Linked DNA regions of Notamacropus eugenii. The protein of the gene in region 2 purifies or fractionates together with the protein of the main gene of each other region. This does not show direct contact. Links are inferred from orthologs where the notes say so. Each region holds a gene or a part of one and is shown on either strand. Other genes may lie near its edges.

Region 1 (7,599 bases), about 47 Mb from region 2:
AATTTGCTTGGAGTCATTTTTTACAGGTATTTTATGGGCTATGGGGGTAGAGTTAGAGCAGGTCCATCCTTGTACTCTGCCATTTTGGCTCCTCCTTCTCCATAAACATAATTTTAAAACATCAGTAAGATGCAAAGAGAAGATGAATAAATGGATGGGACTGGATGAGGTCATCAAGAGAAAGTATAAAGAAAGAAAAGATAATAGCTCTGGATAGAGCCTTGGGGTTCACCCACATTAAGGGAATTGGACTTGGACAATGATCCAGAAAAGGAGGCTAAGAAGGAATAGTCAGAAAGACAGGAGAAAAACCTGTGTTCTTCTGATATGAAGAGAGCTAGGTCATAGAAACCAAGTGAGAAGAAAGTAGGAGGGTGTGGTAGGCAGTGTCAAATGCTCCAGTGAGGTCATGAAGGATCATAGGATCATTAAAGGTCATCTGATCCAACCTCCTCATTCTAATCTTAATTTCCTCATCTGTAAAATGGACTTTGAGGCACCAGTTACAGCTGTATTGGTATTTTCAACTTTTAACAACATTATCTCATTGGATCTTCACTACAATCCTGGGAGATAAATGCTATTATTATTTCCAATTTACAGCTGAGAAAATCGGAGCAGACAGAGATTAAATGATTTACCCAGGGTCACAGAGCTAGTAAGTATCTGAGGTTAGATTTGAATTCCGGTCTTCCTGATTCCAGGTCCAGCACTCTATCCACTATGTCATGAGTTGACTAGAACAAATATGAAGGGTTTTGATGGAGTTCTCTTTAATGGCCTCTGAAGTGTCTTTAAACTCTAGATCCTTTATATCCCTAGTTGATTGGAAGACCTATCAACAACTTGAGCCTTAACCCATTGGACCAATCAGATCTCAAGGACAACTTCCATGCCTTTCAGGGGAAGCTGTAGCCTAGCCTACATGGTTTGGTCCACTGGAGATCTCTTCAAGACTTTAGAATCTGGGAAGGTAAGGAAGGGATGCAGTTTATACAAGGCTGTCATGGGGCTCCCAAACATATAAGAATGAAATGAGAAAATTTGAACCTTAAAGTCATAGATGATTGGTTGTTACAATTGCTTTCTGTGCCTCTGCCTTCCTCTAAAGCATCACCTCAAAACAGGCTAGGATAAATAGACTTCTGGGCCAGTTAACACATCTCTTTATTAGGCCCACAACCTTCCCAAGGCTGGTTGTGAGGATCTCTAACTAGCTTTATTCAACTGAAGGTCCCCAGCCCTCACTCTTAGGGCAACTAAATTCCATTCACTCCTTCCTTTCTTTAGCCTCTCACTTAGTCCTTTTCCTCCTGGAAAAGCACTCTTACTGCTTTCTACTTGCCATTTTTTCATTCCTTCTCTCCCATTTTCTTCCCTTTTGCAGTAATTGTTCAGTCATTCAGTCTGTATCTGACTCTTCATGACCTTCTGGACCATAGCCATAGCCCTTCCATCCTCCACTACTTCTCCAAGTCTACCCAAGTTCATGTTTGTTGTTCCTATGATATTATTTGTCCATCTCATCCTCTTTCATCCCCCTTTCCTTTCACCTTCAATCTTTCCCAACTTCAGAGTTTTTTCCAGTGAGTCCCATCTTCCCATTATGTGACCAAAGTATTTAAGCTTCAGCTTTGGTATTTGACTTCCAAGGAATCGCTTCAATTAATTTCCTTAAATATTGACTGGCTTGATTTCTTGTCGTCGAAGGGACTCAAAAGTCTTCCTCAGCACCACAGTTTGAAAGCATTGATTCTGCAGCACTCAGCTTTCTGTATATAGTCCAGCTCTCACAGCCATATATTGCCACTAGAGAAACGATAGCTTTGACCATATGGACCTTTGTCAGCTTTTGAGTATGTTGTCCAGCTTTCCTTCCAAGGAACAAGGGTCATTTTATGGCTGCAGTTACCATCTGCAGTGATCATGAGCCCAAGATTATAAAATCTGACGCTGTTTCCATTTCTTCTCCTTCTATTTGCCAGGAAGTGATGGAATCAATCACCAAGATCTTAGGGTTGTTTTTTTTTTAATGTTAAGGTCCAAGCCAGCTTTTCTACTCTCTTCTTTCACCCTCATCAAGAGGCTTCTTAATTCCTAGGTCATGCAAATTACCCTGAGGTTTGGAGTAGCCTCAAGATGGCACTGGAAATACAGACAGCTGGCTCCTTCCTTGCAGAGGCCACAAAAGTTTATGTCCTCCATTCCATGCAAAGTGAGAGAATTGGACTAGATGTTTTGTGAGGATCTTTTCTGTCTTGAAATGCTATCAGTGACTTATGGGAGAGGGCCCAGGAAAAATCTACTCTTCCAGAATCCCAGATTTGTCCCCAGCCTGGTTTCTTCCTGGGTCAATGTCTTCTTCCTCAAGAATTTGGAGCCTTCTAGTATGTAGTTGGTTGGCAAGATGCCCAAGAGCTTCTTCTTCCTTCAGTGTCTGGTTGGCAACATCACTTCAGTGATCCATGAATTCATAGAATTTGGGGTTGAAAGAGTTCTCAGCAGAGACCATTTAGTGCAACCCCTCATTTTATAGATAGGGAAACTGAGGCCCAGGGAGGTTAAAGTGACTTTCCCCAAATCAGAGAGCTTGTAAGTGGCAGTCAAGATTGTGAAGCTAAACCTTCCATTTCTAAATCCAATATACTTTCCAGTATCCCACTGGGACAACCCCTTTACTAGTTGATCTTCAGGAGTTGGCTAAGGTCTCATCACTATCTTGTCAAGTCTGGTGATGAGCCTCTCAGAAGTTAGCTATGTTGGTCCTCAGGGGACTGACATAAAGGGCTATTGACCAGACTTTGGGTTTTGGCCTTGTAAAACTTTGTTAAAACATTTTGGAGATACCTTGTTTCCCAGAGCTAAGGGCCAGCAAACAGGCTGTGTCCTGACCTTGACAACAATAATCTTTTGCACTCTGGATGATCTCACCCTCTGGCAAAATGTATTGCACCAGGTCTTCAATCCTTCTATTTCCCAGTGACCTGAGAGCCAATATCTACCACGTCTCTGACATGCTCACAATCCCTGTCCTTGTCACAGAATTCTGGTTCTGTACCCCATAGAATAATCATGATCCCCAAGACTTGGGACAATAACGTTTCTATAGGACCCCTAGGAACAATAACGCAAGACCTAAAAATGATTATATCATAGCCCAGTCCACATGTATATAAACATTGCCTGTACCCCAACATGTTAGACCCTCGTCAGGAGCGGGGCTTCCTTGGATGCAAGTCATTTTCCTCACTCTGAAATAAATTATACCGCTACTTTGTATCCGGACACATCTGCCTCTAGCTCCTCTGGCCATGCCCAGGTTAGAGACTGGTCCAGTCTGGACTCCATTCAAAATTCTATTGACAACCCAGAGAATCTTTGCCAAGGAAATCCCATGGATTTTCCCAGAGAGCTCCACAAGGATCATGGGTCTGACAGAACCGACAGAACTAAAACGACTGAACAGTTACAACAATCCTAGCCCCTGGCGCATAGTGGGTGCTTAGCCATTGATTGTATCCGGGACCAACACACAGTAAGTGTCTTGAACTGCGTGTTTGCAAGATCTCTTTGAGGTGAACACTATTATCCCCATTTGACAGATGGTGAAATTGAGCGTGAGGAAATGTTCAGTGACTCGCCCTCAGGCATACAACTAGTAAATGCTGAGCTGGGGTTCAAGTCCACCACTTTACCTCCATTCCAGGGTGTTGAGGTTTCTTCCTCTTCCTTCCCCGCCCTGATCTCACTACACTTATGCTGCCTCTTACAGGACAATAAAAGAGGGAGGCCACCTGGAGCACAGGGATGCTCCTTCCACCCTCCTCTGGAAGCTTTGGTCCAGGGGTTTCAGGTACAGGTTGCTACGTTTCACATTCAGTTGTACACAGGCTGAATGCTCCTGGCCTCCCTATACATGAGAGCGAGCGAATGTGAGCGTGTGTAGATATATAAACACATACAGATATACACATATTTAGACATATATACAACCTCCAACAAAGACCCTTTCCAGCTCTGAAATCCCTCGCGTCTGCCAGGCGTTACAGAAAAACTTTGGAGGAGTTTGAAAAAATATGGAACGCTTCACGAATTTGCGTGTCATCCTTGCGCAGGGGCCATGCTAATCTTCTCTGTATCGTTCCAATTTTAGTATATGTGCTGCCGAAGCGAGCACGAAAATCAGGGGCTAGCTCCTGCTATTTAAGGCTGAACAATAGATCTATTTTATGATTAGGATGACTAGTATTGCCACACATCATTTTTCTTTTTATTCTTCTCTAGATGAAGCCAGTCTCAGAATAAGAACTCAACGTATAATTGAAAAGTAAAATTTTCCCACTTTATTCGTGTTGCACTAGAAATGCGGTTGCATTTGCAAAACTTCGAGTCGAAGCTTGTGCGGCGGTGGCTCACGGGAGAGTATGCAAAAGACGCCTTGGCTTGGCCCCGCCTGGGCGGCCGGGAACGGAGGGGAGGGCCGGAGAGGGGGAGGGAGGGAAGGGCGGAGGAACCGACTGGAGGGCGGGGCTGTTCCTCCAGCGTCCCAGGATTCACCGCGGGCGAAGCCGTCTCGTCAGCAGGGCCGGGGTCGCGGCGACTGAGGCGGCGAATGGCGGCCTGTAGGCGCCTGTGAGGAGGCGGCGGCGCGGCCGGAGGAGAAGCGGCGGCGTCCGGAGCGTGGGGCAGGGGCGAGGGCGAGCACCCGGCGGGAGCGCCGCGGCCCAGGAGGGGCCCCATGGCGGCTGGGCCGCCTTCCCTGGGAGCCCCGGCCTGTTAGCGCCCCGGCGGCCCAGAGCAGAATGTCGGAGAACCCGCCGCCGCCCCCGCCCGGCCCCGGGAACGCCCCGGGCAGCGGCCCTGCCAACTCGGCCGGCGGGGCTGGGCCCGGGCCCGGGGGGGCGGCGGCCGGAGGCGGCGGGGCCGGGACCCCCCGCGGGGCGCGCACCCCCAACCTCAACCCCAACCCCAACCCGCTCATCAACGTGCGCGACCGCCTCTTCCACGCGCTCTTCTTCAAGATGGCCGTGACCTACTCGCGCCTCTTTCCGCCTGCTTTCCGCCGGGTCTTCGAGTTCTTCGTGCTGCTCAAGGTGAGCCCGAGGGCCGCAGCACCGCCCTCCCCCCCGCTCCGCCCTGCCGGGCTCAGCAGCCCCCCCATGGGCGTCGTGCCCCCCTTGTGCGGAGCCGCCACCCCCATGGACGTCCAGCCCCCCAGTGCCCCCCTTGTGCAGAGCCACCCCCATGGACGTCCAGCCCCCCAGTGCCCCCCTTGTGCAGAGCCACCCCCATGGACGTCCTGCCCCCCAGTACCCCCCTTGTGCAGAGCCGCCCCCATGGACGTCCTGCCCCCCAGTACCCCCCTTGTGCAGAGCCACCCCCATGGACGTCCTGCCCCCCAGTGCCCCCCTTGTGCAGAGCCACCCCCATGGACGTCCTGCCCTCCAGTACCCCCCTTGTGCAGAGCCGCCCCCATGGACGTCCAGCCCCCCAGTGCCCCCCTTGTGCAGAGCCGCCCCCATGGACGTCCAGCCCCCCAGTGCCCCCCTTGTGCAGAGCCGCCACCCCCCTGGACGTCCTGCCCCCCAGTGCCCCCCTTGTGCAGAGCCGCCAGCCCCCCTGGATGTCCTGCCCCCCTTGTGCAGAGCCGCCACCCCCCTGGACGTCCTGCCCCCCAGTGCCCCCCTTGTGCAGAGCCGCCAGCCCCCCTGGATGTCCTGCCCCCCAGTGCCCCCCTTGTGCAGAGCCGCCAGCCCCCCTGGACGTCCTGCCCCCCAGTGCCCCCCTTGTGCAGAGCCGCCAGCCCCCCTGGATGTCCTGCCCCCCAGTGCCCCCCTTGTGCAGAGCCGCCACCCCCCTGGACGTCCTGCCCCCCAGTGCCCCCCTTGTGCAGAGCTGCCCCCCTGGACGTCCTGCCCCCCAGTGCCCCCCTTGTGCAGAGCCGCCCCGATGGACGTCCAGCCCCCCAGTGCCCCCCTTGTGCAGAGCCACCCCCATGGACGTCCTGCCCCCCAGTGTCCCCCTTGTGCAGAGCCGCCCCCATGGACGTCCAGCCCCCCAGTGCCCCCCTTGTGCAGAGCCGCCCCCATGGACGTCCTGCCCCCCAGTGCCCCCCTTGTGCAGAGCCGCCCCCATGGACGTCCTGCCTCCCAGTGCCCCCCTTGTGCAGAGCCGCCCCCATGGACGTCCAGCCCCCCAGTGCCCCCCTTGTGCAGAGCCGCCCCCATGGACGTCCTGCCCCCCAGTGCCCCCCTTGTGCAGAGCCGCCACCCCCCTGGACGTCCTGCCCCCCAGTGCCCCCCTTGTGCAGAGCCGCCCCCATGGACGTCCTGCCTCCCAGTGCCCCCCTTGTGCAGAGCCGCCCCCATGGACGTCCTGCCCCCCAGTGCCCCCCTTGTGCAGAGCCGCCCCCATGGACGTCCTGCCCCCCAGTGCCCCCCTTGTGCAGAGCCGCCACCCCCATGGATGTCGTGCCCCCCTTGTGCAGAGCCGCCACCCCCCTGGACGTCCTGCCCCCCAGTGCCCCCCTTGTGCAGAGCCACCCCCATGGACGTCCTGCCCCCTGGTGCGGAACCCCCCCATGGATGTCCTGCCCCCCTTGTGCAGAGCCACCCCCCCATGGACGACCTGCCCCCCCAGTGTCCCCCTTGTGCAGAGCCGCCACCCCCATGGACGCCCTGACCCCCAGTGCCCCCCTTGTGCAGAGCTGCCACCCCCCGGACGTCCAGCCCCACAGTGCCCCCCTTGCGCAGAGCCTGCCCTGGAGCACTCAACACTCCCCTGATGGACATCCAGCCTGCAGACCCTGTGGTCTGTGATGGACATCCTGCCTCCCTAGTCTTTAACAGCCCCTCCCACCCCCTACCCTTTGCCTTTGAGGGCTGTACTTCACATTGATCTGACATCTTGTCCCCAAAAGTCTTTAACACTCACTATTTCCTCCTTGCCCCCCAAATCTGGGCCCTCTGCCTTCATCTGAGAAGAGGGGGGGATAGTGAAGCTATTTGTGGATTTGGGGGATCTGAATCCAAACTCGAGGTCTTGAGCTTAAGAGCTGTGTGACTGGACCCCCTCAAGGCTTGGTTTCCTGTCCTTACTTGGATGGAGGTTAGACCAGGTTCTAAAACTGATTCTGACCCACTGTCCTGCCCCTGAATCAGCCAACAAGTATTAAAAGCTTACTATGGGCCAGGCACTGTACTGAGTGCAGGGAACACAAAAGACTGGGACCCAGTGCTCAGGGAGATAACCTTCTGGTGGGAAAAAAAACATGCAAGCCTTGTAAGAGCCATATAAAGGTACACACGGGGAAAGACCCTGAGGATTTTAAAACCTCCACCTCGGTATCCCTTTCCAGATCCTATCCCCCTGCAGCCACTTTCATGAGTCTGTGCCCCCCCCCCCCAATTTTGGAAGGCAGGATAGTGCATTGAAAGAAGCAGTATATTTGGAATTGGGGGGATCTGAATTCAAATCCTTTCTTTGCCTCTTTATAGAGTTGTGAGATGGACTTACTTTTACCGCTTTGGGACTTCTTTTCCTTTTTGAGAAGTTTTAGATTGGGTGACCTCTAAGACCTTTATCTGTGTTTCTTTGATC
Region 2 (7,536 bases):
CCTTCTACATCATGGATTCTACATCCCAGCTATATCACTGAAGCTCTTAATATGTATTATATAATATGGATTGTATATAGATTATTCTTAGGAAGATTTCTGTAGATGTAGACTAGTAGGCATATGATCAGTAATTGATAATCTTTTCAATTATTCTTCCTGGGGTAGTAATATTATCTAATTTTTCCCCAAGCATTTGGTATCCTTCCCAACTTTCAGATATGCTGAGAAAGATACTTCAATGCCCACAAAAACGTTGCCTCTGTGTGGATGGATATTCTCTGTGCCTATCTGGTGCAGCTCCTGTCTAGTACCATTAGCTTGTTATCTGTTCCTCACATAACACATTAAGGGCTGTGATATTCAGGGTCTGTGTGTGTGTTTGTCCTTTGTTGCCGAAGAAGACCATGCCATCAGAGAAATAATGACATGACTTGCATTTGACTTTGTTTTGATTGAGGGAGGGCTGTGCAGGTCACCAGCCTCACTTCTCCTCCACAGCCATCTGAATCCAGTGACCAGATATTCATCAGGATGACTGGAGATGACCCAGGATGAGGCAGTTGGGGTTAAGTGACTTGCCCAGGGTCACACAGCTAGTGAGTGTCAAGTGTCTGAGGTGAGATTTGAACTCAGGTCCTCCTGACTCCTGCACTGGTGCTCTATCCACTGCACCACCTAGCTGCCCCTTATTCAGGGTCTAAAATGGGAAGAGAGACAGCTAGCTGAGTGATCCTAGACAAGTCCCTTAACCCTGTTTGCCTCAGTCTGTAAAATGGAGAGAGTAAGAGCCCCTCTTTCCCAGGGTGGTTGTGAGGATCAAACTGAGATCATGTGTAAAGTGCCCGGCACACAGTGAGGGGGACAGAAATGTTAGTGCTATCATTATTATTTCCAAGTTCAGTGTCTCGGTAGTTTGTTAAAGAGCCCGCTCTGTTTGGCCTCTCTCCATGTTTCATCCTTCAAGACTGTTTCTCTCTCTGTTCCTCTCCCCAGGCTTGCCCACCTCTGGCTTCCGGATTTCTTTGCATATATTCTTAATTCACAACGATATTCCACTCCCTCATTTGTCTCTTATTCCTTCTGAGTAAGGCACATCCTTCTGGACCGACTTGGTGAGTCTTTTCCCACCAAATCTCAGTGGTCAAACTTGTCACCTTTCCTTAGGATTTCTCATTTTCTGTGCTTGTTACCCCTGAGGAGAACCCTTAAGGTAAAAAATGCTGCCATTTAAAAAATCTTTACACCTCGCATGCCTAGCATAGTGCCTTCCATGTAAAAAAGAGCTTAATAAGGAGTCGTCAGGGCGCCTTATACAATGACAATCCTCTAGTCTCCCAGGCTCCTTCCTCTCCTCCCCGGCCCATCATTCACACAGCTCCCAAAGACTCTTCCCACTGCTCAGGTGTGACCATACCACTCCTCTACTCAAAAGCTTTCACTGCCCTCAATTTCCTTTAGGAACAATTCAATTTAAAGGGGACATAGAGACAAACGACAAAACGGTCCTTGCTCTCCCAGGATATGGTTGATCAAAGATAACAACATGTACAAAGATAAGTAGGCAGATACAGAAACAGAAAAAAGTAAGCACAAAGTACTTTGGGGTGGCAGGAGGGCACCCCAACAAGAGGCGCCAGGCATCGGTTTGGGAAAGGCACCAGAGCCAAACTGGAATCAAACCAGGGACGAGACTGAGGAGACTGGAAACATGGTGGTGCCTTCCCCGGAAATGGGCAAGCTCAAGAGTCCTGGTCAGCGGGACAGACAGACTCGGTTCTGGGCAGACTGCATGGGGGACAGCGTGGGATCCAGATTTCTCTAGTGGGGAGCTGGCACCAGGGATGGGTGTGTGGGAGAAGCAAGAGTGAACAAAGCACGGGAGGCTTTGAAGAGCCTCCTTCCACAGCGCTCTGCCCGACCTTCCCACTCTGACAGCCCTCCCTCCCCTTCCTTCATGCTGGGTGCCAGCTGGACCTCCTGGAATGCCCCTGCCCTCTCCCCTGCCTATGAAGCTGCTGCCAAGGGGCCCAACCCTGGGACCGTGCCTCCTCCTTTCCACAATCCCTTCCTCCACAGATCCCGGAGAACTTTGCCCGTGCCACTCCCGGGCTGGGGGGTGGGGCCCCTCCCTCTGCACCCCCAGAGCCTGGCACAGCGCTAAGTCTCAGAGAACCCGGGCAGGGGCGGGCGCTGCCCCTCGGCCCAGCCTGCAGCGCCTGGCACCCGGAGGGCCGGCTCGCGGGAACACTTCATGCCCATCTGGCAGACCGGGGCCGAGGTGCCCCGCTCCTGATGGCCGAGCTCTGCGTCACGTCCGCACTGACCGCAGCAGGAGCCAGACCCCCCAGGGAGGTCAGCGACGCGGCCACGGGCTACCAGGCCAGGAGAGAGCCCTGCGGGAGGGGATCGAGCATCACCGGGGAAGCAGGAAACAGTGCCCAAGGAGGGGAGGGGGCGTCTTGTCCTTGCGACTGCGCAGTGGCATGAGGGCCACAAGTTCAGAAGGGGCCAAGTTTCATACAGCGCATGCGCAAGCAGAATCAAAAGAGTTCCGGAACCGAGGTTCTCAGCGCTTACTCTGTTAGGGCGCATGCGCAAGCGGAGTTAAACGTGTACAAGAAGGCACGTCGTCACCACGGCAGCCAGTGCCCCTGATCTATGGCGCATGCGCAGCTTCGGGTTAAGCCATTCTAGTCAACGCCTCTCTTCTCAGCGCGCCTGCGCACTGGAAAGTTATGGGGGGCGTGTCACGGACCCAGACAGTTCACGAACGAGGCCCCCCCAACCTCCTATGGCGCATGCCCAGTAGTAGGTGGAAGGCGCGTTACGTCCCGAAGAGTCAGACCCCCACCTTCCCTTCCCTGCCACGGCGCCTGCGCAGCCGCAACCAGACCCTGAGAGGAGGTCCCAGCCCGCTCCCTCCCCGTCCCCCAATCCAAAAGCAGGCCCGCACCCTCAGGGAGTGCAAGCGGCCCCGGAGCGCCGAGGGCCACGGACCGCCGAGGTACCTCAGCGCGCGCTCCCTCGCTCCGTCCACCGCCCGTCACGTCAGTCAGGCTCCGGCTGCGGCGGCTCCGGAGCCTCCTCCGCGGGATCCCGTCACCTGACGCAGGGGATGGGGCCTACGCGAAGGCACTTCCGGTCCGCACCCGGAAGGGAACGGCGGGCACTGTGGGCGGGGACACCTTCGACCAGACGACCAAGGTTCCGCCCGCGGGCGAGGCACGTGGGATGCGGAAGGAAGAAGGATAAGCCCTGAATGTCAGGACTGGAGGGGCCTCAGACCAGGGGGGGTCAGGACCGGAGGGGCCTGAGAACAGGGGGTGTCAGGACCGGAGGGGCCTCAGACCAGGGTGGGTCAGGACTGGAGGGGCCTCAGACCAGGGGGGTCAGGGCCGGGAGGGGCCTCAGACCAGGGGGTGTCAGGACCGGGAGGGGCCTCAGACCAGGGGGATCAGGGCCGGGAGGGGCCTGAGAACGGGGGGGGGGTCAGGGCCGGGAGGGGCCACAGACCAGGGGGGGTCAGGACTGGAGGGGCCTCAGACCGGGGGGGTCAGGGCCGGGAGGGGCCTCAGACCAGGGTGGGTCAGGATTGGAGGGGCCTCAGACCAGGGGGGGGGCCTCAGACCAGGGCGGGGCTGGGCTGGGGGGGGCCTCAGACCAGGGGGGGGCTGGGCTGGGGGGGGGCCTCAGACCAGGGCGGGGCTGGGCTGGGGGGGGGCCTCAGACCAGGGCGGGTCAGGACTGGAGGGGCCTCAGACCAGGGGGGGGCTGGGCTGGGGGGGTGCCTGAGAACCAAGGTTGAAGAGGTAGGTGAAAGTTAGATTCAGGAAGACTTCAGATAACAGTTTGAGGAGTTTGCCTGTGATTTTAGAGGCAGTAGTGAACTCTCAGAGGCTTCTGAACAAGGGGGTGACGTGGTCAGACACGTCTTAGGAAGATTATTGTTGTGGCTTTGAGGAAGATGACCTAAGGGAGGGCACAAGCTGAAGGTGAGAGCAGCTCTCTGGAAGGCAGTGCCATGTCCAGGCAAGGCTGAGGCCTTGCCCTAGGGATCCTTCATCTCTCTTGTGGAGCTGTCAGCTGAGTCTGGGGGGAGGAGGCAGAGGCCAGCAGAAGAGCCTTTGACCCCAGCCTGAGAACAACTGCCCTACCCAGAAAGGCATGGCAGGTGGATTCGACTGGTGCTGGGTATGAGCGATGCAGAAAGGCAGCACCACGGCTTCGGCCCCCAGGGAGCGCACGTTCTAATGCAGGAGACCCCAAGAAAACAGCTTTATACTTGTGAGCTCCACATGGTATCACTGGGAGGCAGTCAGAGTGAAGGCGCATTCAGTGGATGGGGTCCCAGGAAAGCCTCCAGGAGCTGAGTCTTACAGGAAGCCACAGACTGTAACGGTAATTTAAGGTTAATGGTGAGTGGGGGGAAGAGTTAAAGATCTCCCCCTCCCATTAATAGGCCTCAGTCCCTTTTGTTAATCTCTGTTGAGGGTCCTGCCCTGGGCTCTGAGGTGAGGCTTAGCGTTTGGGAGAAGGTTGGTGTGCTAGGTGAGACTCTGGGCAGCTGCTGAGGAGCCCCTCCCCTTGGAAAGCCCAGATGTTGGTGATTTAGTGCTCACGGTCAGACAGTTGGAAGCTCTGTCTGTTGGTCTTGGTTTCTCTGAAGTTCAGGGGGCTGACTCTTTCGTCTGAACTAAGTGAATGATACATGTGCCTGATTAAAGTAGATTGCTGACTCCTCTTTTCAGAATAGCAGATCTGAGAACCTGTAGAGCAGGCCCTCCTGTGGGTGCCGGGGTCCTTGCTGTTACAAAGCCAGTGAAAGCATGGAGCTGGCAGTGTTTTGTACAAGGGATGGTGAGAAAGGTGGGAACAAGCCTTTATGAGGCACCTGCTGCGTGCCAGGCACTGTTCTCAGCCTTTTGCAACAATGACCTCATTTAATCTTTGCAGCCCTTGGGTGATACATGTTACAGTTACCCTCATTTTACAGTTAAGGAATCTAAAGTAAACTTTAGGCTAAATGACTTGTGCGGGGTCCCACAGCTAGTAAGTGTCTGGGGCTGGATTTGACTCCAGACCAACGCTCTGTCCGCTGTGGTATCCCCCTTGCTTCCTCTGGGCCAGTGCTGCTGGGGCATACAGCCCCAATTCAGGAATTGAAGCTAAAAAGATGAGTGCATTTGCCAACCTAATTCTATAATGACTGCCAACAGACTCAGAGGAAAGATGCATATTCCACAAGGTCTCTATGAATACTTACAAGAAATGAAATGAGATTTGAAAGTGAAATAAAAGCTGTAATCTAGAGGAAAGATCCCACCTTCCCTATTACTGTTGAGGATACCACTCTCTTCCCAGTCCCCCAAGGTCACAATCTAGGGGTCATCCTGGACTCCTCATGCCCTCTCCCCCCACATCCAATATGGTGCCAAGGCCTGTGGATTTTACCTGTGCAGTATTCCTTGTATGTCTCACCCCTGCATAATACTCACCCTTCTCCCCTCTGACACTGCCCCCACTCTGGTGGATTATTGCAGTAGCTGCTGGGAAGTCTGTCTGTCTCCAGTCTCTCCCTACTCCAATCCACCCTCCATCAGCTAAAGTGATTTTCCTAAAACCTACGTCTGATCACGTTGCTCTCCTAGAACTCAAGTTCCTGGGGCTCCCTGTTGCCTTCAGCAACAAAGACCAAATGCTGTTTGACATTCAAAGCCCTTTGTAACCTGGTTTCCTCCTACCTTTCCAGTCTTATACCTTCATCCTGGACAGGACAGTGGCCTTGGTTCCATTTCTTAGCTCTGTGCATTTTCTCTGACTGTCATTCATACCTGGAATGTTCTTCCTCCTCATCGTTATTCACTGATTTCCCTGGTTTCCTTTAAGCCTCTACCAAAAGCCTGTCTTCCACAGGAAGCCTTCCCCAACGTCTCTTCAGTCTAGTGTCTTCCCTTTGTTAATTATTTCCTATTCATCCTGTATATAGTTTGCTTGGTGTAGATTTGTTTGCACGTCGTCTCCCCCTTTAGATTGTAAATTCCTTGAGGGCAGGGACTGTCTTTTGTCTCTTTTTGCATCTTCAGTGCTTAGCACTGTGCCTGGCACATAGTAGGTACTTAATAAATGTTTATTGATTGAAGTAGCTTGGAAGGGAAAGTGATAAACCTTATTCAAGAAATGGGTGCCCTGAAAACTAGAGAATAGACCAACAAAGCAAGGATTTTATGAGACAGCAAGAAATAGTAGGGAAAAAATTGAGATTGAAAAAGAGAAAATATAAGATATCTGATTTTTTAAAAAAACTGACCTGGAAAAGGTCAAGGGAGATAATGTCAGGCATTGTCTTATGTAAAAACCATTATTTAAAAAAATTAAGTGCTGGACATTATATTTTAAAAAACCATAAAAGAAAACTTCTAACGTGTTAGAACCAGAAAACAAAGTCAGTAAAGATACAAAGAATCCACTGTTTAATTCCTGAAAGGAACCCAAAAGGGAAGAATCCCAGAAATGTCCCAGTCAATACCTAGAGCCCCCATGTCAAAGAAAAATTGCTACAAGCCTCCAGGAAGAAGTTTGGGGAATGAGTCAGGATCATACAAGACCTGGCAGCTTCTACTAAAAATGAACAGCGATCATGTAATTCAATATTCCAAAAGGCAGAAGAAGCATCTTAGAACTGAGAATAACTTGCCCTGCAAATCTGAGCATAAAAAACTACAGGGAAAGAAAAGCAGACCTTTCACGGAATAGAAACGTGATGAACAGCTCAAATAGAAAGGAACCAATCAATCCCTACCAAGTCACACAAATTAACATTATCCACATTGCGTTTTTATTTATTTTGTTAAACATTTTCCAGTAAAATACAACCCAGTTCAGCGTCATTCAGGAGTTTTGTGGGCTCACTGGCCACAAATTGGACACCTTTAGAATAGAGAATGCTCAGGTATTTCTGATGAAGAGCAACACTGAGGGAATTGAAATAGAAACTTTAGAAAGGTAACATCAACCATTTATTAAGCAATTACCATGTGCCAGGTACTGTGCTAAGTACTGGAAATAAAAATACAAGAAGAAAGGGAGGTACAGTTATCCTTTCCCCATCACAATTTCAGTATATTGCAGGTTGGCATAAGAAATTAAATGGGAATTTGGGGGGAGTTTTGTGGAAGCAGCAGATGACAGAAAAGGTTTAGAAACTCAGAAATAATAAAATATATGTATAGTATTATATAATGGCAACATATTTTATCTTTTAATACCTTAATAATTTAGACTTCTTCTCTGGCATGAAAGGAGGGCCACAGAATTTTATGTTGCTTTTCCAGATCCCTAGCACTGTGCTAGTGAAAGGGGTAACTGTATTCCCTGACTTCACATAGCTTACATTCTGGTTTTGAGAGAAGACAACAAACTGAAGGGAGCCAAAGATGAGGGTGGAATAGATGGCGTCCAAGTCCAGAGGGCCAGGAGTGAGGCAGCCAACACAGCTGGCCTGGGCACTTCCTTGAAATGGAGGGTCTGGGAAGA

Evidence for each region.
Region 1: the proteins of RNF185 (region 2) and TMEM259 purify together in Homo sapiens (affinity purification with mass spectrometry; 3 studies listed by BioGRID and IntAct, counting the BioPlex papers as one, with this or other methods). This does not show direct contact. The link is inferred for Notamacropus eugenii from reciprocal best matches to the Homo sapiens genes RNF185 and TMEM259.

What each region holds. Positions count from the first base shown.
Region 1 is NC_092875.1:61,373,553-61,381,151, reverse strand, and holds the start of TMEM259 (membralin), read left to right. Parts: upstream 1-4,544; 5' UTR 4,545-4,802; coding exon 4,803-5,093; intron 5,094-7,599. UniProt on the Homo sapiens protein: May have a role in the ERAD pathway required for clearance of misfolded proteins in the endoplasmic reticulum (ER). Promotes survival of motor neurons, probably by protecting against ER stress.
Region 2 is NC_092875.1:13,959,845-13,967,380, forward strand, and holds the start of RNF185 (E3 ubiquitin-protein ligase RNF185), read right to left. Parts: upstream 3,102-7,536; 5' UTR 3,012-3,101; exon of another isoform or gene 2,957-3,011; intron 1-2,956. UniProt on the Homo sapiens protein: E3 ubiquitin-protein ligase that regulates selective mitochondrial autophagy by mediating 'Lys-63'-linked polyubiquitination of BNIP1.